Linked DNA regions of Macaca fascicularis. The protein of the gene in region 1 purifies or fractionates together with the protein of each later gene. This does not show direct contact. Links are inferred from orthologs where the notes say so. Each region holds a gene or a part of one and is shown in the gene's direction. Other genes may lie near its edges.

Evidence for each region.
Region 2: the proteins of STIP1 (region 1) and CCDC117 purify together in Homo sapiens (affinity purification with mass spectrometry; 5 studies listed by BioGRID and IntAct, counting the BioPlex papers as one, with this or other methods). This does not show direct contact. The link is inferred for Macaca fascicularis from reciprocal best matches to the Homo sapiens genes STIP1 and CCDC117.
Region 3: the proteins of STIP1 (region 1) and HNRNPDL fractionate together in Homo sapiens (co-fractionation; 3 studies listed by BioGRID, with this or other methods). This does not show direct contact. The link is inferred for Macaca fascicularis from reciprocal best matches to the Homo sapiens genes STIP1 and HNRNPDL.
Region 4: the proteins of STIP1 (region 1) and BAG2 purify together in Homo sapiens (affinity purification with mass spectrometry; 3 studies listed by BioGRID and IntAct, with this or other methods). This does not show direct contact. The link is inferred for Macaca fascicularis from reciprocal best matches to the Homo sapiens genes STIP1 and BAG2.

The regions. Positions count from the first base shown.
Region 1 is NC_088388.1:10,209,492-10,217,670, reverse strand, and holds the start of STIP1 (stress-induced-phosphoprotein 1), read left to right. Parts: upstream 1-4,131; 5' UTR 4,132-4,189; coding exon 4,190-4,198; intron 4,199-4,332; exon of another isoform or gene 4,333-4,447; intron 4,448-5,092; exon of another isoform or gene 5,093-5,292; intron 5,293-8,179. UniProt on the Homo sapiens protein: Acts as a co-chaperone for HSP90AA1. Mediates the association of the molecular chaperones HSPA8/HSC70 and HSP90.
Region 2 is NC_088384.1:22,882,391-22,889,209, reverse strand, and holds part of CCDC117 (coiled-coil domain-containing protein 117), read left to right. Parts: intron 1-136; coding exon 137-361; intron 362-2,224; coding exon 2,225-2,362; intron 2,363-4,505; coding exon 4,506-4,743; 3' UTR 4,744-6,819. UniProt on the Homo sapiens protein: Facilitates DNA repair, cell cycle progression, and cell proliferation through its interaction with CIAO2B.
Region 3 is NC_088379.1:51,443,374-51,450,766, forward strand, and holds the end of HNRNPDL (heterogeneous nuclear ribonucleoprotein D-like), read left to right. Parts: intron 1-620; coding exon 621-789; intron 790-887; coding exon 888-1,049; intron 1,050-1,521; coding exon 1,522-1,653; intron 1,654-1,822; coding exon 1,823-1,937; intron 1,938-2,489; coding exon 2,490-2,660; intron 2,661-3,001; coding exon 3,002-3,072; 3' UTR 3,073-3,094; intron 3,095-3,460; exon of another isoform or gene 3,461-4,247; 3' UTR 4,248-4,503; downstream 4,504-7,393. UniProt on the Homo sapiens protein: Acts as a transcriptional regulator. Promotes transcription repression. Promotes transcription activation in differentiated myotubes. Binds to double- and single-stranded DNA sequences. Binds to the transcription suppressor CATR sequence of the COX5B promoter.
Region 4 is NC_088378.1:114,543,580-114,551,544, reverse strand, and holds the start of BAG2 (BAG family molecular chaperone regulator 2), read left to right. Parts: upstream 1-2,456; 5' UTR 2,457-2,830; coding exon 2,831-2,943; intron 2,944-2,993; exon of another isoform or gene 2,994-4,540; intron 4,541-5,579; exon of another isoform or gene 5,580-5,952; intron 5,953-7,965. UniProt on the Homo sapiens protein: Co-chaperone for HSP70 and HSC70 chaperone proteins. Acts as a nucleotide-exchange factor (NEF) promoting the release of ADP from the HSP70 and HSC70 proteins thereby triggering client/substrate protein release.

The DNA.
Region 1 (8,179 bases):
ACTCAAGTCCAACCCGGGAGGATTATATTGTTCACTCTGCATAGTAACCTTGGGAAGTCAAGGGCACTTCATCCTCCCCACCTTACAGTCAAGGACACTTAGAGCACAAAAAAGACTTCCTTAGATTTCTTGAAAATTCTGGGCCAGGGCCAGGCGTGGTGGCTCACACCTGTGTAATCCCAGCACTTTGGCAGGCGGGGGCAGGTGGATCACTAGAAGTAATGAGTTTGAGACCAGCCTGGCCAACATGGTAAAACACCATCTCTACTAAAAATACAAAAAAAAAAAAAAAAAAAAAATTAGCTGGGCGTGGTAGTGGGCACCTACAATCCCAGCTACTAAGGAGGCTGAGGCAGAATCGCGTGAACCCGGGAGGCAGAGGTTGCAGTGAGCCAAGATCGTGCTACTGCACTCCAGCCTGGACTACAGAGTGAGACTCCATCCCCCACCCCCTCAAAAAAGATAAAGAGAATTCTGGGCCGGGCATGGTGGCTCACACCTGTAATCCCAGCACTTTGGGAGGCTGAGGCAGGTGGATAATGAGGCCAGCAATTCAAGACCAGCCTGGCCAAGATGGTGAAACCATCTCTACTAAAAACACAAAAATTAGCCGGGCATGGTGGTGGGTGCCTGCAATCCCAGCTACTCTGGAGGCTGAGGCAGAGAATTGCTTGGACCCAGGAGGCAGAGCTTGCAGTGAGCCGAGATCGCGCCGCTGCACTCCAGCCTGGGTGACAGAGCGAGATTCCCTCTCAAAAAAAAAAATTCTGAATTTGCCCTGGCCTCAGGACCTTTGCATCCTCTGTTGCCTGTGTGGTCCCCTGTGCCCCCTAAGCTTCTCCTCGATCCATCTCTGACAGGCCTTCACTAACCACTCACCTCTGGGAGTGCTTTCCTTCCCTGCCACCCAGGTCATCTCTCTGTGCCTTGACTTTTGTGTTCTCTGTAGCACTCACTCTTGAGAATTATCATTTGTGCACTGATTTTGATTTAATAAATCCATGTAGTTCTTATTCCGTAGCCAGGCACTGTTTTTTTTTTCTTTGGAGACAGAGTCTTGCTCTGTTGCCCAGACTGGAGTGCAGTGGCATAATCTTGGCTCACAGCAACCTCCGCTTCCCGGGTTGAAGTGGTTCTCCTGCCTCAGCCCGCAGAGTAGCTGGGACTACAGGAGTGCACCACCACACCTGGTTAGTTTTTGTATTTTTAGCAGAGATGAGGTTTCTCCATGTTGGCCAGGGTGGTCTCGAACTCCTGACCTCAGGCGATCCCCAGGCCCTCTTCTTGACAAGTTCTAAGTGCTTTATGAATATCAAATCATGTAATCCTCACAACCACTATGATGTCAACACTTTTTAATCCCCATTTGAAGATGGAGGCAACTGAAGTACAGACAGGTTGTGCAAATTGCTTAACATCACACAGCTGAGAGTTTAGGTATCATCTTTCAGTAGAAAAGGTCCCTGTGAGCAGAAGCTTCATCTGGGGCTGCCCTGGTCACTGCTACAGCCCTGCACCCAGAGCAGTGCAACACACTCTAAAAAAAGGTGTGTGGGAAATGGGACCTGGCCATTCGGAGAGAAGCTGCTGGGGAGAAGATGGAAGGCTTGGAAAGGCCACTGCTGGTCAGGTGGGCACGTGTGGTGGCCTGGAGACAGTGCCAAGAAGAAATGAAAGGTGTCCTTGACAGATTGGATGTAGATGAATAAGAGAGGAGGCCAAGGCCTCAGAGGAACCCTTGACCCCGCTTTCCTTCATGCTCCCTCCAAAATGCATCCAGAATCCTATTCCTGTCCCCTCCTCTGCTCTCATCCTGGCTCCCTGGGATTACTGCCACAGCCTCCTAAGAGGTAACCCTGCTCTCACTCTCCCCTCTTCCTCCACACAGCAGCCAGAGGGATCCTGAGAAAACTTAAGATCATGACACTCCTCTGCTCAAAACCTGCCAATGTGTTCGGGAGTGGCAATGGCCTCTAACCCTGCAGGACCTGGCCCCTACTTCCTCTCGGCAGCTGTGCCTCCTGCCATCCTGGCTACCCCGAGGCAGCTCCCATCCCAGGGCCTTTGCACTGGCTGTTCCATGGGCCTGCAAAGTTCTCCCCCACATTTCCAAGGATCTCACTCCCTTGCTTTCTTTAAGTCTTTTCTCACCATGCCTCACTATTGAAAATGCAAAACCGCAGGGCGAAGTGCTGGGTCTGTAAACCCAGCACTGGGAGGCCGAGGCGGGCGGATCACTTGAGGTCAGGAGTCTGAGACCAGCCTGGTCAACATGGGGAAACCCCGTCTCTACTAAAAATTAAAAAATTAGCCGGGCGTGGTAGCGCACACATGTAATCCTAGCTACTTGGGAGACTGAGGCAGGATAATTGCTTGAACCGGGGAGGCAGAGGTTGCAGGGAGCCGAGATCGCCCCACTGCACTCTAGCCTGAGAGACAGAGCAGGAGTTTAAGACTAGCCTGGACAACACGAAGAAATCCGTCTATAAAAAAAAACAGAAAAATTAGCTAGGCGTAGTGGTGCCTGCCTGTAACCCCAGGTACTTGAGAGGCTGAGGTGGGAGGATGGCTTGAGCTCAGGAGGTCCAGGCTGCAGGGAGCTGTGATGGCGCCACTGCACTTCAGCCTGGAGACAGTGAGACTCAACTCCGTCTCAAAAAAAAAAAAAAAAAAAAAAAAAAAGCAGGCGGTTGGATTACACAGGCCCTGAATCCCACCCTAAAGCCTTCAGCACTTTCAAGTGAGGGATTACCAGGTTTGCAGGTCTGCAGCAACTTGGCTGCAGTGTCCAAAATGGGTGGGGCAGGTGGGATTAAAGATGAGGCTGTGGAGACAAGCTATTGGCAGAGAGGACACACTTTAAACCCTGGGAAGATGGCATTACCCAGAGAGGGGGAAGGATGAGGACACTGCAGAGCCCAAGACCATTGCCAGACCCGAGTCATGCGGCTCCTTTGTTCCAGGAACCACAGCTGACTCTAGAAGCAATAGCAGCATTTTCACTCCGCAGGTGCATCTCTTCCACGCTTTGGGGTGCCTGCCCTGACTCTGACTTCTGGGGCTGGGATTTAAGGCTCTACCAGGCCACAGTTAGCCAGCTCATAGGCGGTTAACTACCTGATTCAGCTCTTCGTCTCTTTCACTCCTTTACATCGGACTCACGAGGGCTGGGGGACAGCTCCCTTTCGCTAAGTACTTTCCGCGTGCTAAACACCGCACGAATTCCCCTCGGCCCTACAGGACCAAACGACTCAGAGAGGGTGTGCGGTTCCACTGAGGACGCCCAGCAGAACAGCCGCACCCGCCGCGATGAGATCCCCTGCCTGTCCAGCCCAAGCCCAAGCGCCCTCGCGGTCACGTGGCATTTCTGGAACCTAACAGCCAGAATGCAGGAGGGCCAGGCCGAGGCCGCAGCGCTGAACAACGCGCGCAACTGGCGGTCGAGGACCACGCAGCGCGACCGGCTAGGACCTCCATCTCGATGCGTGGGCGAAAGGCTGGGGCCCTGTGCCGCTGGCGATCCCGGGGACCGCCTGGAACTCGCGGCACTAGGGATCCAGATGGAAAGTAACCCACAGGCACCGCAGCCGCCGGAGACACGGCTACAGTACCGGACTACGGCCGAGACTGCCATATGCCACGGGCGGGGCGAAACCCAGCCTTTTGAAAGGCAGCGATTTAAACCAATCAGCGCAGAGGGTTGGCAACCCTCCGCCCAATTGGAATCGCTCTCATTCTGAAGGCGGTTCCGACTTGGAGTCCGGCAGCCCAATGGGAGAGGTGGAAATTTCCAGAACGAACGGAACCAATGGGCGCGGCCAGCGCGGCTACGATTGGCAGAGCAAAAGACCAATCTGTGTCGCAGAAGTCCGCTCCTCCCTCCGTTCGTGCAGCCTGAGATGGGTGGGTTTATAGAGCGGCGTCCAATCCTGAGGTGCGGGGGAGGCAGGGTTGAGGGAATCACTCCCCGCTGTCCAATGAGAGGGAAGTGGAGATGATGGGCTGGACCTCAAGCCAGTAGTAGAACAGCACAGAGAGCCCCCTAGAAGTACTCGACCAGTGAGCAGGCGAGGAAGGGGCGGGAGCCGGGGTCCCGGCAGCTTCTAGTAGGTTCCAGAAGGCGGCGCGTGCGGTTGGGATCGCGGAGCGGACGGATTCGATTCAACGGGGTTCCGGGCCGCGCTGCGCTATGGAGCAGGTGAAGGGGGAGGGGCGGGCTGAGGCCCCGAGACCGCTCGGGGACCGGCGGAGGCCAGGCCCGCGGTAGGGGGCGGGGCGGGTGCCAGATCTGGGCGACCGGAGCTGGGTGCTGGAGCCGGACGGGGCGGCGGCGGGGAGGCGAGGGCCGCGGGCGGCGGGCGGGAGCGGGATCTGTAGAGGCCGGCCGCGGGGAGCGCCCATCGCCCCTTGGTTGGGCGAAGAGGGCCGGGAGGAGGCCACAGCTTGGGTGAGTCCGGCCGGCGGCGGGAAGAGGGGCCGCGACCGGGCCCTGAAGGTGTCCCGAAGGGGCTGCTGCAGGCTATGCTGGGGAGGGTGCGGGCCGCAGAGGGCGGGGTGGAGTTAGGCCAGGGGCCGGGGTCGGCACCCGCGAGGTAGCGCTCCGGGAGATCTGAGACAGCCGACGGAGAAACCGCTCGGACTTAGCCACGAGGAACTTGGACGGATCCAGGGAGCGGGGACGGGAATACACTGGGTCTTAGCAGCCTGAGATCCAGTTGGGGCAAATCTTACTCTTCTGCATCTGAGAATGTGAGGGTGGGAGAGCGTTGAGCGGGGATTTGAGGAGCTACAGAGCGAGTGTAGCTGATGCAGTAAAGGGAAGGGTGCCGCAAAAGTCCTTGGAACGAATTCCATCTCTGACAGTGGTTTACAAATGTATTGCGGCCCCTCCCCCTCTTTTTGTATGCGTGTGTGTGATTGTCGAGTGACCGAGGACCGACACTTCCGAAAGGTGGATTTCTAGCTACACTGGGGCGGTTGTAGACAATTTGCAGAGATTAACCGCTAGAAGTTATGGGCCTCTGTTGAGCATTTGGGGGGCAGAGTTTGAAGCGGCTGCTGCTTCCTTTCAGTGACTTGGTTATGTCCTCAGTAGCTTGTGGTTGTGAAAGGCCTAGAGATTTTGTTCCATTGGAAGCTGTCATTGAGCTATAATGATTCATCGGAAGAAAAAGAACAAAACAACCTCCGAGAAACCTCTACCAACATCTGAGAAATCATCTGCTCGAGAGTACTACCCTCGTCGCTCCGGGCCCATAACACTTCGGGGTGACAGTTCTGAAACTATACCTGGTATTTGGTTCTTACTTCAGATCCATAAAACTAAGATTGCCCACACGCTCCCCTTAAGTAAGACATCTCGATGGACTAGTGACTACCACCCTTTTTTTGGTGGAGTTCCAGAGCTGAGCCTTTGGTCTCTTGTAGCAGTTGCTGCTTTAGGCAAAGCTCGAGCTTCCTTGCTGTATTAAAAAGAGTGGAAATGAAGTTAATAAACTTTTTGTGCCCATATAATGCTTCAGTTGTGTCTAGGATTAAATGGGCTGTATTATAGGTGAGGAAAAATTTTCTGGAATAAGACATTGCTCTTTTACTTTTAAGAAAGGATCTCGGCTGGGTGCAGTAGCTCGCACGTATAATCCCCAGCACTTTGGGAAGCCAAAGCGGGCGAATCACCAGAGGTCAGGAGTTCGAGACCAGCCTGGCCAACATGGTGAAACCCCCTCTGTAATAAACGTACAAAAATTAGCGGGGCATGGTGGCGCATGCCAATAATCCCAGCTACTGGGGAGGCTGAGGCAGGGGAATCGCTTCACCCCTGGAGGCGTAGGTTGCAGTGAGCTGTGATTGTGCCACCACACTCTAGTCTGGGCGACAGAGTGAGACTCCGTCTTGAAAAAAAGAGAAAGGACCTCTTTCTGCTGTTACCAAATTTATTTTTTATTTTTTAGAGACAGGGTCTGGTTCTGTGGCCCAGGCTGAAGTGCACTGGTGGGATCATAGCTCACTGCAGCATCAAATTCCTGGCCTCAAGCGATCCTCCTGCCTCAGCCTCCTGAGTAGCTAACCACACGCCACCACAACTGGCTAATTTTTAAATTTTTTGTAGAGACAGAGGTTTTGCTATGTTTCCCAGGCTGGTCTCGAATTTCTAGGCTCAAGCTATCCTTCAGCCTTGGCCTCCCACTGCATGAGCACTAGGATTACAAGCGTGAGTCACTTTGCCTGGTCTTAAAATGTTTGTTTTTAAATCACCACCACCCATGGTAGAAGTGTATGTGCAGATAGATAGATGGTGAATGAATATTTGACTTAGGACAGCAAACTGACATGGCGACTGTACAGATGACCTGGCATTTAACCCCAGGTGTGTTTGAGCCCACCATCTGGAAGCCATTCCTGAAAATAAACAAGACTTTGTTTTCATTTTCAACTGTGAGGTTTGTATTTCAGTTTAGAAAATACTCAAGTTGGTCTGGGTGCGGTGGCTCACACTTGTAATCCCAGCACTTTGGGAGGCGGAGGTGGGTGGATCATGAGGTCAGGTTGAGACCAACCTGTCCAGCATTGTGAAACCCCATCTGTAGTAAAAATTTAAAAAAAATAAAAAATAAAAAATCGCCCCGGGGGCGGTGGCTCACGCCTGTAATCCCAGCACTTTGGGAGGCCAAGGCGGGTGGATCATGAGGTCAGGAGTTCGAAACCAGCCTGGCCAATATGGTGAAACCGTGTCTCTATTAAAAATACAAAAATTAGCTGGGCGTGGTGGCATACTCCTGTAGTCCCAGCTACTTGGGAGGCTGAGGCAGGAGAATCGCTTAAACCCAGGAGGCGGACCTTGCAGTGAGCCGAGATTGTGCCACTGCACTCCAGCCTGGGTGACAGAGCAAGACTCTCTCTCAAAAAAAAAAAAAAAAAATTAGGTGAGCATCGAGGCGTGCACCTGTGGTCCCAGCTACATGGGAGGCTGAGGCAGGACAGTTGCTTGAAGCCGGCTGGTGGAGGTTGCAGCGGGCCAACATTGCTCCACTGCCCTCCAGCCTGGATGACAGTGAGACTCTGTCTCCAGAAAAAAAACAAGTTGGACAGATTTTGAATGTTCAAGCTTGTCTTTTTTTTCAATAGGGGCCTTTCAAATAAATCCTGCAATGATATACTTCTTACATTTAACCCAACACAGGCATCCAGCCATGTAACACATTCAGCAAAACAGTATTTACTGTTATGTGCCCTGTGTGCTGGTATTTTTTGTCCCACTTGGTCTCTTAAAATGCTGGTCATGACCTACAAAATTGATTTCCTGACCCACTGTTGATCAGTACTCTGTTTGAAAAATGCTTTTTTAAAGCATAGGCAAGAACTTCACCAGCTGCCTCTTGACACCACTTGAGTTTTGTTAACTCTTTGTCTTCTGCCCTCCATCTTGGGCTCTAGGATTTTTTATCCCTTGTTTGCTTAATTTGGCAGGTTCCTTCTGCCTGTGCCTCTGTAATGTCTCTGATTGATGGAAGTTCCTGATGTATTTCAGGATTCCAAAATCATTTCTTTCTTTTTTTTCCCCCCCCCAGATAGAGTCTCACTCTGTCCCCCAGGTAAGAATGCAGTGGCGCCATCTCGGCTCACTGCAACCTCCGACTCCCAGGTTCAGGTGATTCTTCTGCCTCAGACTGCTGGGTAGCTGAGACTGCAGGCATGCACCACCACATCGGGCTAATTTTTGTATTTTTAGTAGAGACGGGATTTCACCATGTTGGCCAGGCTGGTCTCGAACTGCTGACCTCAGATGATCCACCCGCCTTGGCTTCTCAAAGTGCTGAGATTACAGCCTAAAATCATTTCTCTTAACAAAATTATTTCTTGCATCAATTTACTGGGTCGTGAGTGGATAATACATAGAATGAGTTAGTAACTTGGGTGACATAACTATCTCACAGAACGTTTACCTCTTAAAGGTATATTTTGGTCTGGTGTGGTGGCTCACCTTTGGGAGACTGAGGCAGGAGGGTTGCTTTAGGCCAAGAGTTTGATACAAGCCTGGGCAATATGGAGAGACACCATCTCTACCACAGAAAGAGAAAAACATTTAGCCAGGCGTAGTGACATACACCTGTAGTCCCAGCTACTTAAAAGGCTGAGTTGGTCGGGCGCAGTGGCTCACACGTGTAATCCCAGCACTTTG
Region 2 (6,819 bases), on another chromosome or scaffold:
TATTTTCCATCTTGTAATCACACACTTGTCAAAAAAGTTAGTTTTTTAAATATAAAAATTTGATTGGAGATAGGAATGATAAACGTTTCATTTATATTAGTTGGGATTTTCATTGAATTTTTTTTCTGTTTTTCAGTTGTCCAGTAAGAAAGAAAAGGATAACTGAAGCAGAGCTCTGTGCTGGTCCTAATGACTGGATTCTTTGTGCACATCAGGATGTAGAGGGGCATGGAGTAAATCCCTGCATTAGTGGCCTTTCCGTACCTGGGATATTAGATGTTATTTGTGAAGAAATGGATCAGACAACTGGAGAACCACAGTGTGAAGTTGCCCGAAGGAAGCTTCAAGAGATTGAGGACAGGTAACTGGGCAGTGTATATAGCTGGTTTTTTGCTGTTTCCTTGTAATATCTCTTCTCATATAAGCTAATTCTGTTTATCATTTGGTGATACCTTGATCCTTAACCTCTCAGAAAGACTGTAAGTCAGAGAATTCAAAGCGTATGTTTTTTTTTGTTTTGTTTTTTTGTTTTGTTTTGTTTTTTAGATGGAGTTTTGCTCTTGTTGCCTAGGCTGGAGTGCAATGGCACCATCTTGGCTCAGTGCAACCTCCGCCTCCTGGGTTCAAGCGATTCTCCTGCCCCAGCCTCCCGAGTAGCTGGGATTACAGCCATGCGCCACCAAGCCCAGCTAATTTTGTATTTTTAGTAGAGACAGGGTTTCTCCATGTTGGTCAGGCTGGTCTCGAACTCATAACCTCAGGTGATCCACCCGTCTCAGCCTCCCAAAGTGCTGGGATTACAGGCATGAGCCAACCCGCCCCCCACCCCTTTTTTTTTTTAATTGAGACAGGGTCTTGCTTTGTCACCCAGGTTGGAGTGCAGTGGCTCACTGCAGTCTTGACCTTTCAGGCTCAACACATCTGCCCCCCTCAGCCTCCCGAGTAGCTGGGACTGCAAGCATGCACCGCCACCCCTGGCTAATCTTTGTGTCTTTTATAGAGATGGGATTTCACCATGTTGCCCAAGCTGGTCATGCATTCTTGGGCTCAAGCAAGCCGCCTGCCTCAGCCTCCCAAAGTGCTGGGATTACAGGCGTGAGCTACTGTGCTGGGCCAGTATACTGTAGCCTTTTTTTTTTTTTTGAAACAATCTCGCTCTGTCGCCCAGGCTGGAGTGCAATGACACCATCTCAGCTCACTGCAACCTCTGCCTCCCAGGTTCAAGCAATTCACTTGCCTCAGCCTCCTGAGTAACTGGGATTACAGGTGTCTGCCACCACACCTGGCTAATTATTTTTGTATTTTTATTTTTATTTTTGGAGACAGAGTCTCGCTGTGTCGCTTAGGCTGGAGTGCAGTGGTGTGATCTTGGCTCATTGCGATCTCCGCCTCCCAGGTTCAAGCAATTCTCCTGCCTCAATCTCCTGAGTAGCTGGGATTACAGGTGCCTGCCATCACACTTGGCTAATTTTGTATTTTTAGTAAAGACAGAGTTTCACCATATTGGCCAGGCTGGTCTCGAACTCCTGGCCTCAGGTTATCTGCCCATCTCGGCTTCTCAAGTGCTGGGATTACAGGCATGAGGCACCGTGCCCAGCCATGAAGTATGTGCTTTTAAAGTGAATTCTCATAGAACTGCTAAGTGTTTTCACTTACTGTCTCTGAATATTAATTTTGGTTTATGTGATAATTCTCTGAAAAACATTCAGATTTGATTATATGTAAAACTTTTTTGTTAAATGTTGAACAACCCCCTGAGTATAGGTTTTTTTGTTTCGAGACGGAGTCTTGCTCTGTTGCTCAGGCTGGTGTAGAATGGCACAATCTTGGTTCACTGCAACCTCCACCTCCTGGGTTCAAGTGATTCTCCTGCCTCAGCCTCCTGAGTAGCTGAATTACAGGGATGTGTCACCACACCCGACAAATTTTTGTATTTTTAGTAGAGATGGGATTTCACCATGTTGGCCAGGCTCTTCTCCAAATCCTAACCTCAGGTTATCTGCCCGCCTCAGCCTCCCAAAGTGCTGGGATTACAGGTGTGAGCTGCCACGCCCAGCCTGAGTATACCTTTTATACTCAGGTATAGCCTCATTTTTTGCTTAGTCTATTGCTGTATTACTTACTGCTTTTATCCTTTTGTATTTTTAAAATTTTGTCTAAATACTAGAATATATAATAGCTTGTCTAAATATTTTTTCTTCTGCTGATGCCTTAATTGATTTAGGATAATTGATGAAGATGAAGAAGTTGAAGCTGACAGAAATGTTAACCATCTCCCCAGTCTTGTCCTTTCTGATACCATGAAAACAGGTTTGAAGAGGGAATTTGATGAAGTTTTTACAAAGAAAATGATTGAGTCTATGTAAGTTTTGGTACCTGATTTCTATTTATTTATGATCTTGCAGGGAAAACCCAGTGTCTAGATTCTGCCCATCCTGTCCTCGTCAGCTCTTTTTATCTCCTGATCACCAGGCAATCGGAGATTGGCTTTTTCCTAGTTCATTGGGTTGAGCAAAGTGCTTTATAAGCAGAAGTTTGAAGTATGGGGAAGTGGCTGCCTTGCCTACTTACTCTTTCGTTCCTTTGAAGACCTAAAATGGACTGTAGTCTGCTATTTGGAAATGGGATGACTGGCAAGAGAGCCCACTCTCTCAAGTTCTTGTGATAGGATATAGGAACCACATTTCAAAGGCTCCTGTTTACCCGGCTTTCTAAATTACCCAGGAACAACATTGAGGCCTAGGAAACAAAAAAAAAGTGGCCCATCAGTGAAAGTAGTTACTGCAAAGACTGCAAAACAAAGCTCATATTCTTGGCTCATTAGCATAGTCCTTCCAGGCCTTTAGCAGAGCTGTTTTGCTTTTAATCTAAACACAGTTTATGAGCTCAGTTATCTGGTTTCCTAGATCATCAGAGTAGAAGCAGAAACAGCAAATGAGAGCAGAACAAACAAAACTTCTAACAGGGAGCTGTGACTACACTGTGAGGACAAGAGAGGAACCTGGAAAGCAAACACAATAACCTAAAAAGTAAAGTGGCCTGGGGCCTGTGAGTAATGATTAGCCCAGCCCTGTAATCCTGTAGTCCCTGAAGCCTCCATGATCTCAAATTGTCATTATTAACTATGTAAAATAGTAGGGAAGTTGGTTATAAAGTGCCATTTAGGTATTGCCTAGGAAAGACTTTAGATGGAGTTGGTACCCAATGAGGGCAAGTTTCAGGTATCTGAAAAAACCTCTTAGGACACCAGTCTCAGTGAGGCCAGATAGATGAGGCATTATTACCTTTGGATACAGGGGAGATGATTTGTGCTAGAAGTTCAGCTGCTATTTGGTCTTATCACAGAGGTTTTGCATTAGGGTCCTATCTTGAGCTTATAATTAACTACCCAGCCCTAAGGGTGGGTAAATAGCCATAAGTAAGCTGGTCACGTTACCCTCCAGCCTAAAACATAGCACTTTCTGCTTTTGGTAGTTTTCCAGAAGCTAGCCTTTGGGGGTATTTCATTGTTTTGTTTTATTTTTGCTTCCTCTTTGGGCCCAGACACCATCGCTGCCACAGTGTGTGTATAACATAGTCATTTTGCCTTAACCGTGAAGCTTGTTTTGTTTTGCTTTGTTTTGTGTTTTGAGACAGGGTCTCACTCTCACCCAGGCTGGAGTGTAGTGTGGCATGATCACAGTTCACCACAGACTTGACCTCCCGGGCTCAGGTGATCCTCCCACCTCAGCCTCCCGAGTAGCTGGGACTACAGGCACCCAGCTAATTTTTGTATTTTTTGTAGAGACAGGGTTCACCACATTGCCCGGGCTGGTTGCAAACTCCTGGGCTCAAACCGTCTGCCTGGCTCGGCCTCCCAAAGTGATAGGATTATAGGCACAAGCCACCATGCCTGACCCATAAAGCATTATACTTTGTACCTGTACTAAAAGGCACCTGAGATACTTTCAGCATGTTTGTCCAGTGTTTCCTTTTCATTTATAATGATTTAGTATAAGCTAGCTGCCTATATCTAATATTAACCACAGTTTTAAAAAATTTCTAGCAATCAAGGGCTCTGTGTTTTCACATTGGATTTTTAGATACTTCCCATCACAGCATCATTACATCCACTTGATTTGGTTAGATATACATGTTGAAGTGTGCAGTGTTATGTATTTGAGGGGCGTTTCTAAAGATCAGTTGGAGCCAGGCATGGTGGTAATGTGCCTGTAGTCCTAATTACTGGGAAGGCTAAAGTGGGTAGATTACTTGAGTCCAGGAGTTAAAGGCTGCAGTGAGCTATGACTGTGCCACTGTACTCCACCCTGGACAACACAGCAAGACCCCCATCTCTTTAAAAAAAAAAAAAAAAAAAAGAAAGTAAAGATCAGTTTGTGTGTTCTAAATATCCTGTTTTGCTACCATCAGTCCTTAAGGTATTAGGTAATGTTGGCTTTTCAACCTATAGCTTTTGTTTTCATGTCCTAAAATTTTTTGATAAAAGTCTGTATTTTATGTCTTAGGAGCCGTCCTTCCATGGAGCTTGTTCTCTGGAAACCCCTCCCTGAACTCCTTTCTGATAAGCCAAAGCCATCCTCTAATACTAAGAACTATACAGGAGAGAGCCAAGCTAAGCATGCAGCTGCTGGCACTGCCTTCCCTCAGAGAACTGAACTGTTCTTGGAACCTCGGCAACCAGGGATGTCTCTTTATAATAGTTTGGAGACAGCTACTAGCACAGAAGAAGAGATGGAACTCTAGAAACCAATTTCTACACTAAAGTTGTCAAATGTTAGAAGAATCCTGTGTTCAGTTATGAGACTCTTTGCATAGTATAGGGACTTGAAAGTTTTATGAAACGGGTGTAATAATATCTCCACCTGTGATTTGGGGGTGGGACTCTCATTTTGGGTAGCCATTTATTGACTTCAACTTTTTGCCAAGGAAGTTTGTCTCAAGGGAAAAGCAGTTTTCTGTGGGGCTTATTAAAGGAATGTTGGTTTACAGTTTCTTCGAAGATTACAGCCTCTTCAAAGACAAGTATAGAAGCTGTATGTGTAAGGGTGACTTAAATCATATATCACATTGTCTAAACTATTCAGACACTTGGAGAATATTCTCCTTGAATTCAAAAAAGATGATTAAGAAGGATGCTCCTACTACAGCTGTATCCTGACAGTTAAGTCACAGTTTAGTGTGTAGATATGAGCTGTTTACAGTGGTGCCTATATCTAATTGGGGAGGAGGGAAAAGAGCAGTAGCTTAAGCCTGTTGCTAAGAAATCTAATTTCTTAGCAACTTGTAATTTAGTTATCAATTCAATATAGCTCGTTGATAGCCAGTAGTATTGTGGCTCTCCTCTTTGACTATGAAAATAATAGAGAAAGTTTTTCCTTCAAGGCTTTTTTGCCTTGTGCCACTGTTACTCCTTGGTTTCCCTTGCGTAATTGATAAGCCCAGTTATTCAGTAATGTTTACAAATTAATTGACTTTCAATGATAGTTAAAAGACTGATGTAACCCATCTGCAATTTGCCTATGGGAGAAGCATCCTTTAGTTCATCCTAAGGAAGTGCTTGGTCAACTAAGCCCAGCATTGATAACTTTAGTAATTTTTTAAAAAGTTATACTTGTATTAGCAAGTTTTTTTTTTTTCCCCCACCGCAACCTCCACCTCCCGGGTTCAAGCAATTCTCCTGCCTCACCCTCCTGAGTAGCTGGGATTACAGGTGCCCGCCTCCACGCCCAGCTAATTTTTGTATTTTTAATAGAGACCGGGTTTCGCCATGTTGGCCAGGCTGGTCTCGAACTCCTGACCTCAGGTGATCTGCCCACCCCAGCCTCCCAAAATGCTGGGATTACAGGCGTGAGCCACGGTGCACAGCCAGCAAGTTACTTTTAAATGTTAATTTAGAAAACAGTGAATGATTAGCTGAAAATATATGAGCAGGTGACATTGAGGTTTACTAAAACAGCCAATTTGACTGGTGCTGAGACTTGTGCAGTAAGCCTAAAAGGTAGTGGAGAATTGCTTCCTGCTAGCAGGAAGCCTTCATCTTCTTGAGTACCTAAACCAGGCTTCAGGTGTCCTTTGAGGATAGCCAGGTTTGAAATTTGTAGTTTCTCAGGAAGAGCTCTTCTGTGTGGCAGGGGCTGATAGGGCAAAATAAAATGACAGTTTCTTTATTGCTACAGAGTATCCACTATAAGTTATTAAATGAGTGTAATGGTATAATGCCCTTCCATCACAACAGGACACCACCCCAGTTTTGTTTTCTGGGTTTCTTCCCCCTTTGTAGGAATCAGATACCTTTTATAGAAAAAAAATGGCTTATGCCACATAAAGGTGAATTTTTAGAAACCACCTTCTAGGCGTTTTTGGAACCCTTACTGAAATCCCTCCCCTTGTTACAGATGGCATAGAAGTCACAAGTCTGTTAATTGGACTGTTACTTCTTTGCCTGTTCCTGCTTTCTCTTTCTGTCTGGATAGTCAGGAAAATATTTAATGTTTAATATTTAAACAAAATATTTAATATCTATACAGTAAAATTATTCAAACTTCAAACCAGTATTGAAAGCAGTTGGAAACCAGCTAATAGTTTCTTAATCTCAGATTTCGAGATGAATGTAAACTGTATTCTTTCGAAATGTGCAAGTGTTTGATTCATGCCATTTGATAAACTTCTGCCTTGTAGTCATTGTTTGATGGGACCAACTTGTAAAGTTTGTAGCCTTAAACAAATCTCCATGCTAAAAAATGTGTTCCAGTACAACACAAAAACATGAAGTGACTGCGCAGAGGTAGAGTTAGTGTTTAGGTGGAAAGGAAGATGACA
Region 3 (7,393 bases), on another chromosome or scaffold:
CCCGGGAAGAGTGGGGGAAGGGCGGAGGGGTTGGAGGAGGAGGGCGGCGGCGTCTCTGTCCCGAGCGCGCAGGCGCCGCGTGGGACCCGGGGGGGAGGGGCCGGCCTCCCAGCGCCGCTCGCTGCAGCTGCCGACGCCTCTTCATTGTGTCTCTGTTACCACTCGGCGCGGTTTTCCTGGGAAGAGTTTTAGAGGACTCTGAGTTCGGGCACAAGCAGGCGACTGGTACCCAGATTCACAAAACGTATTATGATTGATGAGTTCTCTGGGTGGAACGTTGGCTTGACAGCTGAGGACGAGGATGGACCTAAGATAAGATGTGAGGGATTCATCTAGGAAGTTGGGCCTTGTAGCTGAAGCAATCTGGGCAGAACCTTTACTATATTTTATTGGTCTCCTTTGAGTTTTGCTTTATGTAGTGCGGAGAGCGAGCTGTCCGCTGGTTTGAGTAACTTTGTTGGGATATTGGGATTTTTGTGTGACATAGATTAAATGTAAACATGGATTAAATTGCTTACACTTAGGGGATAAATGTTCCTGTTTTTATTCTACGATTTAATTCCAGAACTGAAGGATCATTTGAGTTACTGTTAATTTTTTAAAAAACCTTTTATTTCTAGTAAAATGTTTATTGGAGGCTTGAGCTGGGATACAAGCAAAAAAGATCTGACAGAGTATTTGTCTCGATTTGGGGAAGTTGTAGACTGCACAATTAAAACAGATCCAGTCACTGGGAGATCAAGAGGATTTGGATTTGTGCTTTTCAAAGATGCTGCTAGTGTTGATAAGGTAGGAACTGTGTTTTGCATTGTGCTGCTTTTGTAGTGTTTTGCACATTTTTCTGGGGGTTATATGCTGCTGTCAGATTAAATAAATCTGTCTTGTAGGTTTTGGAACTGAAAGAACACAAACTGGATGGCAAATTGATAGATCCCAAAAGGGCCAAAGCTTTAAAAGGGAAAGAACCCCCCAAAAAGGTTTTTGTGGGTGGATTGAGCCCGGATACTTCTGAAGAACAAATTAAAGAATATTTTGGAGCCTTTGGAGAGGTGTGTGATTATGTTTACACATGTTAAGCTTGATGTGTTTATAAAATGTTTAATCCTGGTCCGATTTATACAGGGCAGATTCATGTTTCGTGTGAGGGTAGGATTAAATGACTGCTCAAGTCGCTTCCAGGGACTGTACCTTGATTTGATTGCTGCTCTGATGGAAACCCAACTATCTTAATTTAGCCAAAACATGGGCACTTAAATGTGGTCGGTGTTTGGACTTGTTAGTTAGTGGCATCTTTGGGGTACAAAATAATATTAAAGGATGTTTTACTTTTCTCTCAATGCTTCAAATATACAACAAATCACTGAAGGCTGATGTTGATCATAAAGCAGTGATGTCTGTATAGAAGTCACCTGATAAGAATAACATGTTTAAGTTGAAGCCTGAAAAGTACCTGTGGCATTCTGACACTCTGGTAGCATTTTATAATTATGGGATGACCTTGAGTGTGCATCTCGATTTCAGATTGAAAATATTGAACTTCCCATGGATACAAAAACAAATGAGAGAAGAGGATTTTGTTTTATCACATACACCGATGAAGAGCCAGTAAAAAAATTGTTAGAAAGCAGATACCATCAAATTGGTTCTGGGAAGGTAAAGCCATTTAAGTACTTTAAATGAAAATTTTAAGGATTTCTTTTTTCTTTTTTTTTTTTTATCTTTTAGTTTTTGAAATTTCTCAATGTGTTTGAGAAAAATAAAATGATTAAATTTTAGAACTTGAGTAAAAATTCTATTTTCGTGTTTTTTAATTTGTTTATAGTGTGAAATCAAAGTTGCACAACCCAAAGAGGTATATAGGCAGCAACAGCAACAACAAAAAGGTGGAAGAGGTGCTGCGGCTGGTGGCCGAGGTGGTACGAGGGGTCGTGGCCGAGGTGAGACTTAATTCTTGGAATATGACTCCATGGTTTAAGCTGTATACTGCTAAATATGAGTAGTCCTGTACGAAACTAAAACTTTAAACTTAAAACAATTCCAGCGGGAGGAAAATGTTCAGCTTAGTGGGGGTTGTGTGTGGTGGTTTTTGTTGTGAGCTCACTGGTTTCAAAAAACTGTTAAAAGTATGGCCATTTTGACAATTAGTGTCATCACTGACAGGAAAAGTGTACCATTACATGATGCGCCATGGCGTGATGGGTTTTCTTGGGCAGGAGTCCTTGTTTTAAACAGAACAGTATACCTGTCTTCAGCTTTAATGGAAAATTGAATGATTTTCCATTAAATTTAGGAAGTTTGATACTGGCACAATTGGACTTTCTGCCCCCCTTTTTTAATAACAGCTGGAAGAATAGTTTTTCAAGCAGATAGTGCTATATATGTCCATTCTGCCCTTTAAGATTTGCAGAGTGAGAGACAAGAACGCATCATTTTATGTTAGAATTGGGGGTCAGAAGTTGTTTCCTAACAATCATTGTGCATTGTTTCAGGTCAGGGCCAAAACTGGAACCAAGGATTTAATAACTATTATGATCAAGGATATGGAAATTACAATAGTGCCTATGGTGGTGATCAAAACTATAGTGGCTATGGCGGATATGATTATACTGGGTATAACTATGGGAACTATGGATATGGACAGGGATATGCAGACTACAGTGGTAAGAATATTTAACTTAATTTTATAAACCAGTGGTATTAAAATTCATTGTTAACATACAATCCTGTTCTGAAATTGTGTGTACGGGCTTTCTGTTTGGAGTTAAGTGTTTGAGGCATGTTACAATCATAGGGTGATTATACTAACATAGTCTGGTGGTTATAAATGAACTAGGATGTATGATTTACGACTAGCTTATAATGGGTGTTAAAATATCTTAATATTTTAATACTTTTTATTTAGCATGCAAAGATTTGTAGATTTAATCATTTCTCAGTGTGTTTGTAAAGAAACAGTTTTGTAGAAAACTATCTTAATGAAATTTCTGTGTTTTCAAAATAGGTCAACAGAGCACTTATGGCAAGGCATCTCGAGGGGGTGGCAATCACCAAAACAATTACCAGCCATACTAAAGGAGAACATTGGAGAAAACAGGTGTGTATAAGAGTACAGGAAAACAGTAGAAATGTCTAATTTAATTTAAAGATCAATAGACAAACGTAAAAACAAAATACTATGTAGCTTGTTCTTACTAAATTGTTGATTTTTTTTAATTGCTTTATGAGCCTGTTTTGCCTAAAGTGTCTATAGATCTTTAACTTTAAAGTCTTATCTCACTTTCTTTAGTATTGCAGAAAAACTTAAGAGTTTTTCTGTTTGCTTTTGTGTACCAGGTGGTCTAGAGGAATAATTAAACATTTTAGAACTATTAACAGGTAAAGTACTGAAATGGGTACAACTTAAGGAAAACAAGAATGTTGTCTTCTAACTCTGACATTATACCTTGTTTGTACCCGCCAGCGGGAACTTCATTGCAGGCCGTGTGTCACCCTGACCACGTCTATCTCTGGGGGTCGCACGTTGCGGGCAGAGCGCAAGGCATACACCAGAAAACGCTGTCCTGTGGTATGGTCTCTTCCAACTTCATGTACCAGCGTAAAGATTAAAGTGGAAAACTTCAGACTTTGGCTTCTTTTTTAATCTTTTTGGAGATTAAGTGTCTAAACTTAACTTAAATGGTTTTTTACAGGAGTTAAAATACATAAATGCCTTTTTACAGCTTAATCATTTTGGTCTTCTGTTTAGTGTTGTATTTCAATTGTGGAGCCTCATTTTAAGTGTTCATTCTTTTAAGATTTAATGCTTGCTTTTTCTTTTTATAGCTAATAGTGAAATCTACAAACCAAAACAAGAACTTTTAAATCTGGGATATAAATTAAAGATCATATGCACAATTCAATTTATGTTCTTGTAATAAGCTTATTAGAAATTGGTGTTTGTGATAGCATTTTACTTGGGTTACTAGAGATGCTTCTAGTAGACCTTAATCTAGCATAGTTGAACCTGTGAATATGGGAAGATTGTATTCCCAGATTCTTTCCTGAATAGATTTGAATTTATTATTATTTGGGAACTCCAGGGTGAGTTTATTGACTAACCAAACTGTATTTTGCCAATAAATATGCATATGATCTTTAATTATTGAAGAAAAGAATAAAGTGAGGACTTAAAACAGTTCATGAAAGTGGACCTTTAAAAGCTTGTCAGAGTTGCACAAATCTAATTGGTATTTTGTTTTTGTTTTTAGGAGGAGATGTTAAAGTAACCCATCTTGCAGGACGACATTGAAGATTGGTCTTCTGTTGATCTAAGATGATTATTTTGTAAAAGACTTTCTAGTGTACAAGACACGATTGTGTCCAACTGTATATAGCTGCCAATTAGTTTTCTTTGTTTTTACTTTGTCCTTTGCTATCTGTGTTATGACTCAATGTGGATTTGTTTATACACATTTTATTTGTATCATTTCATGTTAAACTTCAAATAAATGCTTCCTTATGTGATTGCTTTTTTGCGTCAGGTACTACATAGCTCTGTAAAAATGTAATTTAAAATAAGCAATAATTAAGGCACAGTTGATTTTGTAGAGAGTATTGGTTCATACGGAGAAACTGTGGTCCTTTATAAATAGCCAGCCAGCATCACCCTCTTCCCCAATTTGTAGGTGTATTCTATGCTCTTAAGGCTTCATCTTCTCCCTGTTAAGTGAGGTTTCTACCACACCTTTGAACAATGTTCTTTCCCCTCTGGTTATCTGAAGACTGTCCTGAGAGGAAGACGTAAGTGTTGTGATTAGTAGAAGCTTTCTAGTAGACCATGTTTCTTCTGGATTGTAATAAAATTGTTAGCTCCTTTTACTTTGTGCCTGTCTCTGGAAAGCCATTTTTGAATCGCTAATTACTTTGGCTTTAATCAGTGGTCACCTGGTAAAAGCTTTGTAATCATAACACAATCACTTAATTCTTGATAAAAATTCAGATGCACACAGGAGCACTGTAAAACTGGTAGGATCTATGGTTTAAGAGCATTTAAAGTAGTTATAACTCAAGGATTTTGGTAGAAAGGTATGAGTGTGGTCAAAAGTTAGATTAAAATTTGAAATAGTGGCAAAAGATTTAGTTGTGTTGTTTTCTCGCAGTCACCACAAGATTGAACAACATGTTTTCTGTTTGGGCATTCTGAGGAAATTGTATTACAGTTAGCTATTAATGCTGTGTGAGTTTAGAAAAAGTCTTGATAGTAAATCTAGTTTTTAACAGTGCATGAACTGAGTAGTTAGACATTTCCATATTCAGACATAGGAATAGTGGAAAAGGTATCTTAGGTGTGTCAATCCAAATGTGACTTGAGTCATTACAGTGGACCCTCTGGGTGCACTGAAAAGCCGTTTTATATCCAGGTTTGAGAAGACCTGGAATAAATAAAAGCTTTGAATTTTGCATTCAGTGTAGTTGGATTTTGGGACCTTTGCCTCAGTGTTAGCTACTGGGATTGGCAGATGTGTTCACAGGCAGAGTAGTTGATCTCACACGGGTGATCTCACAAAACGTGTTTCTTATGCTGATGAGCCCCTTTTTTTTTTTTTTTTTTAATTTGGTGCTTACAACTTGGTTACAATGATTATACTTCTTGGGCTATCACGTTATAATGCTCTTGGCCTTTTTTTGCTGCTGTTTTGCTATTTGTTCTCACACACACCTAGGCCAAGTACCAGTGTTGGTTGTTAGAAGGGATTCTGTTCATTCAACATGCAACTTTAGGGAATGGAAGGAAGTTCATTTTTAGGTTGTGTTGTCAGGTGCAGTGTCTAGGGTAGTGAATCCTGTAAGTTCAAATTTATGATTAGGTGACAAGTTGACATTGAGATTGTCCTTTTCCCTGATCAAAAAATGAATAAAGGCTTTTTAAACAAAATCCAAACTTAATCAAGTCTTGATATGTATGACTGAGAAAAAATATATTACATCTAGAGATGATTGAGATGTTTTACAAACAATTGAAGGGGGAGTAAGAATTCACTTGATTTTTCTTGCAGGGGCTTTGAACTCTAGATTTAATTAAGATTTCAGGGCCCATCAGTTCACCAACTGATGCAAATTTGAATAGATACTCTTAGGCTAAGTGTCCTAGGTTGGATGAACTGTGAAGCTAGTATCAAGATCTCATTCCCAAACATTAATTTAGAACAAAGTAATTGGACAAGTTTATTGGGGAGGGGATAGAAATGAATTCTTCTGAAGTACCTATAACAAACAAATACTCGGTTTGTATATGTTTTCATACATTGTATTTGCCTTTTGCATTGTTTAGACCAAATTCAGTGTGATGTTATCCTAACAAAAGACGTTAGTAATTTCATTGGTTAACATGTTAATGTGTAATCTCGCTCATTTTTATAGTATGAGGACTATTAAAATGAGATGTCTGTTGGGATGCTAGCATGGATAAGCATAGCTTATTCCATTACTCTTCAGTGCATCTTTATTTTCATAATGGCAGAGAGCCTCACTAATCTTCACAAAATTTAATATAAGGGCGTATCTGAACAATTAAGCCACTTTCCATTACCAAGATTTGATTTAATGTCAATCAGGATGCTAGGCTGCGTGCTGTAGATCATGCCTGTAATCCCAAGCACTTTGGGAGACCAAGGCAAGTGCATTGAGTCCAGCCTAGGCAACATGGCAAAACCCTAGTCTCTACAAAAATTAGTCCAATGTGGTGGTGCACACCTGTAGTCCCAGCTACTTGTGCTGAGGCAGGATGATTGCTTGAGCCAGGGAGATGAAGGGTGCAGTGAGTCATGTTTGTGCCACTGCACTCCACCCTGGGCGACAAAGTGAGACCCTGTCTCAAAAAATCGCAGGATGCTAAACTTCACCAATTAAAGAGCTGACTAAGCTGGCTGGGCGCAGTGGGCTCATGCCTGTAATCCTAGCACTTTGGAAGGCCAAGGTAGGTGGATGGCTTGATTCCAGGAGTTCAAGACCAGCCTGGCCAGTATGTCAAAACCCCAACTCTACTAAAAACACAAAAATTAGCTAGCTAGGCATGGTGCTGTACTCGGGAGGATCGCTGGAGTCCAGGAGGTGGAGGTTGCAGTGAGATCTGTGCTCCAGCCTGGGCAACAAAGTGAGAACCTCTCAAAAATAAAGTAGACTAAGACCAGGTATGTTGAGCTGCAGTTGAGCTATGGTCGCTCCATTGCATTCTACCTAGCCTAGGCAACAGAATGAGACCCAGTCTCAATTTTTTTAAAAGGTGATTCAAAAACATGTAAGTGTATGAATAATTTTAGTTATAGATGTGTGTGTATACCATTTCAATTGATTCTAGTGTTGAGTAGTTACAAAGGGTCATTCATAGAAAACCCCCTTTCCTTAAACTTTCAGC
Region 4 (7,965 bases), on another chromosome or scaffold:
GGTAGAGAATAAGGCTTTTGATATAACAGGAAAGGGATATTTCATCATGACTCTTAAGAAAAGGTAACTGGGTTGTTTAATGTTTTAATTGATAATTGTCACTGATTGTATTTCTACCTGTTAAATAATTAAAAATCATCTTAAAATTCATACTTTGGCTTTAATTTAGACAAAAGGAGATGTAATCGCTGTGTAACATTAGAGAAAGTTATATGGATTATCATCAAAAGTAAATGTTTCTAACATTGACAAAGATGCTTATCTTTTCATTACATCATTCACTCATTAATTCATTCAGTCACAAAATATTTATTGAGTACCAACCATGTGCCAGCAACTATTCTAAGCACTTGGAATATACCAGTAAGCAAAACAAAGCCCTTTACCCCTCTGTGGAGCACACATTGGTGGAGAGAAGGAGATTGTACAATGTTAGTAAGCAAGCAAATAAAACTGCATATCTGATGGTGATACATGTAACGAAGGAAAATGAAGGGAAGGGAATAAATAGTGCAGGGACAGGGAGTTGCAGGGAGGCTTGCTATTTTTAATAGGGTGGTCAGAAAAGATCTCACTGATAGGTAAACTTGAGCAAAAACCTGAAGAAGGTGAGGGAATGAGGATGAAAATATATATAGGGAAGAGAGTTCCAGGTGGAGGAGGGGAAGGTCCAGACAGGAGCTTAGTATATTCAAGGAAAAGCAGGAAGACTAGTATCACTGAGAGGATGAGCTAAGAGAGTAATAGGAAATGAACTTGAGGTTTTTCTAATGACCTTGGCTTTTACTCCGAGGTAAGGAGCGATTGAAGGTTTCTGAGAATAAATGGTATGATCTGCCTAATTTAGGATTGCTGTAGTTGCTGCACTGAGATAACATGTACATGAGAGGCAAGAGTAGAAGCACGGAGACCAGAGAGGAAGGTATTGTAGTACTTCAGATACTAACTTACCAGGTAGCATGAACCAGAATGGTGGCGGTAGAATTGGGAAGAATCTGGATATATTCTGAAGGTAAAATTAATGGGATTTACTAATGAGGTGGATCTAGGATATGAGAGAAAAAGAGTTCAGGATGATTCTAAAGTCACTTGATAGACTTTCAAACCACTCACAAAATGTGTTTTGTTTTCGTTTGTGTCATGATAAAGTATTTTTAATAAGGTCAAATAATCCCCTACCCCAAGAGTTAATTAGGATTTAGAATGAGTTCAGAGGGAATTGGGATCCAGCCTTAAGGGCTTCAACTCTGTTCAAGTATTTAAATGACTTTGATCTCTGATTAAAGGTGCTGGTTCAGCTTTAGACTATTATTATCTATCATTTTCTGTGCCGTGTACATTAACATCCTTGCAGTGAGAGGCATAGAGCTATCAGGAGAGGGGACCAAAACCTAACTTTTTAAGTAGACTAATCTTTGTATCCTCAGCTCTATTCCATCTTTTACCGACAGCTGGTGCCTGACCTAGAGGCCTACTGCATCTTTTTGTTAACATTAAAAGTTGGCCTGGCGCGGTGGCTCAAGCCTGTAATCCCAGCACTTTGGGAGGCCGAGACGGGTGGATCACGAGGTCAGGAGATCGAGACCATCCTGGCTAACACGGTGAAACCCCGTCTCTACTAAAAAATACAAAAAACTACCCGGGCGTGGTGGCGGGTGCCTGTAGTCCCAGCTACTTGTGAGGCTGAGGCAGGAGAATGGCGTGAACCCGGGAGGCGGAGCTTGCAGTGAGCTGAGATCCGGCCACTGCACTCCAGCCTGGGCCACAGAGCGAGACTCGGTCTCAAAAAAAAAAAAAAAAAAAAAAAATTAAAAGTTGAGGACTTCTTAATGCCAATTATTTCACTCAGAATATTTATTTATTTATTTAGACAAGGTATCGTTCTGTTGCCCAGGCTGGAGTGCAGTGGCGAGATCTCGGCTCACTCAACAGGAATAATTTTAATAGCAAAAATTAAAAACTCCTTCATTAAGCCGGGCGTGGTGGTTCACACCTGTAATCCTTAGAATGATAAAAATGAAGTAAATTCACTTTGTTTCCTACATCTACCTAGATAGGGAAAGATGGAGTAGCTTTTTCTTTTTTACTTAATAGCTTCAGCGTTGTCCGGGCATTCGTTACTCTCATCTTAGTATAAAGTGGTAACAGGAAGGTCAGGTGAGTGTGGGCTGCCTAGGAGCTGCACTTAACTGCCTTCTGTTTCACAAAAGGACCTTTTCTCCCTATATCACAGGACCCTTAATGTCGTTGTTCTTGCTTTGAATTATGGGTGCTGGAAGAAACTAAACGAAGCCATCACTGAGCAATACACCCACAACCCATCGACCGATAGGAACCTTCGTGTGGGGGAAGTTGGTTACTTTTAGGCTGCACGAAGAGGCGGGGCCACGCGGGGCGGAGCTGGGGGTGGTCTGTGGGTCCGGGCGGGCTTCGGGTAGTTCCTGGGTCCGAGGAGCAGACGATCCGCTGGCCACATTAGGCGCTCAGTCTCTGCGTCTGCCCCTCCCCGTGCCTCAGAGACTTGCGCTCCCCAGGCCCGAGCCCCTATCGGCCCATCCTCGAGCCCCTGTGGCCCGCGAACCTCTTAATTCCAGCCGCTGCAGCCCCCTCCCAGGCCCGGCGTCCCCGAGCCCCGCGGGCGCCGCGCCTGCCCTTCTTTGGCCACGCGGCAGCCGCGGTGTCGGCGAGTCCTCCCGGGTTGCCCCCGCGGGCGTCAGAGGGAGGGCGGGCGCCCGCGTGGTGACGGCGACGCCTGCAGCCCGAGGAGCGCTCCACTCGCCGCCGCCGGAGGGGCCGGTGACCTCTCGGCTGCCCCGCGTCGGAGGCTTAGATGGCTCAGGCGAAGATCAACGCTAAAGCCAACGAGGGGCGCTTCTGCCGCTCCTCCTCCATGGCCGACCGCTCCAGCCGCCTGCTGGAGAGCCTGGACCAGCTGGAGCTCAGGTGAGCCGCGGGCGGGCGGGCGGTCTCGGGCGTTCTGCTCGCCGCGCGGGCGGTTAGCGGACGGAGGCCGCGTGTGGCGGGCCGGGCCCTGGGGCACAGTGAGGCTGCGGCAACAGAAGTTGCTTGTTGAGATTTGTTGTGGATGGACGTGGTGTAGTTTTGTTTATTTCTTGGATTTTCTCCCCTTGTCCAAGAGAAAACGCATTGTAAGCTAAACCTGTGAGGGCGTGATGGTGGCCACACTTTGATTAACTTACCTAGGTGTTGGGGAGCAGGAAAAAGAGGAGATAAAAGTTAAGAGGTGAGATTCCATGCGATTAACGACTGTGGCAGCGTGGGTCTGCAGAGCTTCTAGAACCTTCTGTGTGGCCCCAAATGTTTTTAACTTACTCTTCTCCCGTCATACATTTTTAAGGGAGGCAGCAGTTTACAGTGGCCCTCCACGTGAAGTTAAGTTTCCTTGCTTCAGAACACTTAAAAGAGCAAAAATGAATAAAACAAAACCAACCCAGCAATCCATTGAGACCAAAGATTAGAGAGGAGTGAGGGGTAGGCAGTAAGTTACCGGGTGCTTCGTGCAGTAAAGACGTTGCGGCTTCTCTTTATCCCCTGACCTGGCGGACGGGATTCCGCGGTTCCGTTTGTCTCTCAGTATTTATTGGGCACCTCCCTACATAGAAGACGAAGTGTTAGTCACTGGCCTGAAAGTATGAAAAGATAGTTTTCCCTTTTTCTTGCTTAAGATTTTATTAGGTAATATAGTAGTAGACTTGTACAGAATTTCTAAACAATATAATGTTAATAGATTTTTGGAAAGACTTTAACGGTATATTGAAAAGTTTTATCTACTTCCTGTGAACGTTTGTCTCAAGTTACTGTGTAAATTTTGTGAGCAACTGTAGTTAAAAGAAAACCTTGTTAGGCACCTGGAATTCCCTGAAACTGTACACAGGAGTTGGTTCCATAGTTTTCTCTAGGTTGTGCATGAGCAAAGAAGCATGTGAGCCAAAAAGTTCAGGAAACACTGCATGTGTGTTTTATCTCCCTCCATTAATACACCCAAATATGAAGTGTCCGTTTGCCGAGAAAATACTTCAAAACCACGGCATCTCTTTTAACAAGTAAGGCATTATTATTGTTACTATTGGGAGAAAAGAGCCAGAGAGTGAGAGATTCTCCGCTCAAAATAATTTCTTGGATGGCAGCAGAGAAACCTAAGCCCTACACGAGGTTCTGGGGTTCCACTCAGAATGAGGCAAGTGGAAGAGAGAAATAATGCTTCCTCATGGATTTTCACAATACTAGCAAACCTGACCCGTTCCACTCCCAGAAAAAGTAAAGCGCAAGTAGAAATTGGTGGCCTCAGTTACTGGAAGTCCCTCTAACTGATGTTTCTTTTTAGGGAGCCGCATAACAAGTAACACACCTCTCTCCATGTCTTCAGAACGTTGAGGGCATGTTCTCAACCACTTCACTCGCTCTCCCCTAGTTAGAAAGAAAAGATTTTTTCCTAAAGGAATGGGTAGGATGTTACTCCACCCCGCCTTCCTTCAAGCTGAGTCATTGTCCTCAAACTTGAATTAATGCCTCACATGTGGTAGGTACAAAAGCCCTCTGAAGTGCTCCTCTTAAAAAGAAAGCCTCAGGTTTTGAATATTATTATATTCTAATGTTTGATTAATGTAAAATGAATTCTGATTACTGCACATCAGTGATTAAATTACAACTTGCTTAATTAACATTTGAGCTGAGGAGAAAAGTGATTAATATGTGGCTGTTCATTTCAAGGACTTTTTTTAGTAATTCTAGACTTTTGTAGGCCTTTTTTTTCTTTTTAAAAAAGTAATACTAGCTGAAAAGGAAGGATTTCCTAAGGTAAGCAAAAATAGAGAAAAATGCTAACATTGATCCTATTAAAGTGTTTTTTTGAAACCACATGGGCAATGGCATAGAACACTACACTATTAAAAACTAGAATCATGCGTACAAGATCGATTTTTAAATGAAAACATGAAACTCATATGTAATTTTGCTCTAATAGTTTGATTTTATGTTAACTAATAAAGTAGTGTAACTGGGTAGAATAAAACCTTACCGTTTGTACTTAGAAGTGTGCACGTAATGTTCCCTAACCACATCATCCTGTCAATTGTGGAAGAAATTTCATACTTCATGACCTGGAGTATGAACTGATCTACATGATTAAAATGTTTGGCAGCAGTTCTACAAACTGTTAAAGGATTTCCATTTATCTCTAATGGAATTTATCAGTACACTAGCCCTTTTTTTAGACTGCATTTTGTCTTCTGTATTTCTTCCTTCTACAGAGGTGATTCCCTTTTCTCCCTGTTTTTATGATCAATTCTAAATGGAGTCTGAGTTTTGCATTCCTCAGTGGCTCAAACCATCTTGCTTATTGTTACTTTTTAACAATTATTGTAATTTATAAAAAATACTATATTACAATTTTATATATATATATATATATATATATATATATATAATGTTTTCATCCACAGTTCCTGGCTCATAACTCCCATAACCCTTGTGACAGTCTTACGTTATAATGTTGGGGTGCTTTAGGCCTCAGGAAAAAGTATCTCTGTCTGACCTTCTTTCGCCTGCCTTGTTTCTAGTCTGATTGTGGGTCAAAAGACCCTCATTCCAGAGAGGGTCCTGTCCCATGCCCTGGAGGAAGGAATTCAACACCCAGAGGCCAAGAAGAATCTGAATAGACTGGTCTTGTGTTAGAGTGAGAGCATACCCATTTTGTCCAGTCACATTTCTACATGGTTATCATTCATGCTTATATAATGAAGCAAGCCTCCCTAAGAACCCGAAAGGACAGGGTTTGGAGAGCTTCCAGATAGTTGGACATGTGGAGGCTCCTGGAAGGTGATGTGCCCAGGGACGGCATGGAAGCTTTGTGCCCCTTACTCCTTGTACCTCACGCTACACATCTCTTCATCCATGTCCTTTGTAATACCCTTTATAATAAACTGGTACATATAAGTAAGTGTTTCCCTGAATTTTGTGAGCTGCTCCAGCAAGTTAAACCCAAAGAGGGGGACATGGGAACCCCAATTTGAAGCCAGTTGGTCGGAAGTTCTGGAGGCCTAGACTTGCAGCGGTGGGGAGTGGGGTCTTGGGGACTGAGCCTTCAACTTGTGGAATCTGACACTGTCCAGGTGTAGATAGTACTGGAACTGAGTTGGAGGATACTTAGCTGCTGTCCACTGCTTGTTGGTGGGGAAAATCCCCCACATATTTGGTCACAGTAGTCTTCTGTGTTGTTACAGTGTGAGAGCAGAGGAAAAACACAGTGTGAAAGTCTTTTCTAAAACACATGCTATTGTTTATTCATTTAATGTACATGGACTATATGCCAGGCCCCATGTCTTTGTGGAAGTTACTATTATCACCATTCTACAGATAGGGAAACTGACGCTTAGAAGCTTAAATGACTTGTCCAAAGTCACACAACTAGAAAGCAGTAAACTCCACATTTGAACCCAGGAAGCCTGGCTCTCCAGGCTCTAATACTTTATGCCTGAATTTTCTTAAATATGTCACATTTCAAAATGTAGGAATGATATATGGATGAATAGATGAGTTTCCTCAAAGAGATAAAAATTCAATCTAAATTGGCCTTAAATTCAGGGGCTACTGAACACCCACTATGTGCTAGGTATTGGGTAGCTCATAGAAAGCTCAAGATGGTAATGAAGATGTTTGGGAGATGGGTTTTGGAGACTGGCAGGGGGGAAAATCATAGGACTGGGAGATTGGGTTGTTACGTGTTTCCCAAAACTTATGACATAGTGGCTCCTTCTGCCTTCCTGTCATTCTTTCGTTGTGGCTTAACCTGCACCCAGGTAGTGAAGGGCTGGGGTCGGGGGTGATAGGGATCATTCGTCTGGCTTAAAGTTTCATGTTAGGGTGTGCCTGTGTTCCAGGAGTCACAAAACAAGATGGCATCATAGTTAATATCGTATAACAGCCTGTAATTTAAAAGAACGCTTAATATACGTTGTTATTTGAAACTTTAAAAACTCTTTGAGTTAGGTGGAGGGCACATGCTCTCTCTCCTAGAAAGGAGGGAAGTGGGGTCCATAAGGATGAAGTGGCTTGCCTAAGGACATGCCACTGAAGAGTGGCTCTTCACACTAAAAACACTAGTCCCTTCTTTTACACCAAAATGTCTTGACAGTAAATGTAATTTAATATTTTGGCAATTAGGGAAACCCTTCAGAATTTTACATTGCCTAAAAGTGATCATTATAGCATTCTTTTGATATAGGAGTACGGAATAAGAGACAGAACTATGAGTTTAAGAACCTGTTTTAGGCCGGGCGTGGTGGTTCACTCCTGTAATCCTAGCACTTTGAGAGGCCGAGGTGGGCAGATCACCTGGGGAGGTCAGGAGTTTGAGACCAGCCTGGCCAACATGGTAAAAACCATCTCTAATAAAAAATTCAAAAATTAGCCAGACATGGTAGTGCATGCCTGTAGTCCCAGCTACTTGGGAGGCTGAGGCAGGAGAATCACTTGAACCCTGGAGGTAGAGGTTGCAGTAAGCTGAGATCACACCACCGCACTCCAGCCTGGATGACCAAGCAAGACTCCATCTCAAAAGAAAAAACAAACCTGTTTTAGAAATTATTTCTTTCAAATCATGGTATGAGCATTTGCCATTTTCCCTCCTTTTTATGAAAGCACAAATTCTCATTAATAAATAAGCCCACATTCATAATGGTAAGAATATAATAGCTATTATTACTATAAATACATGCCAGTGCCAATTCTAGACACATTATACATATTAACTTGTGTGTGTGTGTAATTTTTTTAGTCAGTGCTATCAGTCAGTTACACTCTACCTGCTTTACTTCATTTAGTCACAAGCACTGTTTCCTTATTATCCCTGTTTCATAGGCGACTGACCCCTTTGCACAGCTAGTAGTGGCACTGCTGGCGCAGTTATCACTGCATACTGTATTAGCTGACATATTAATAGTAGCC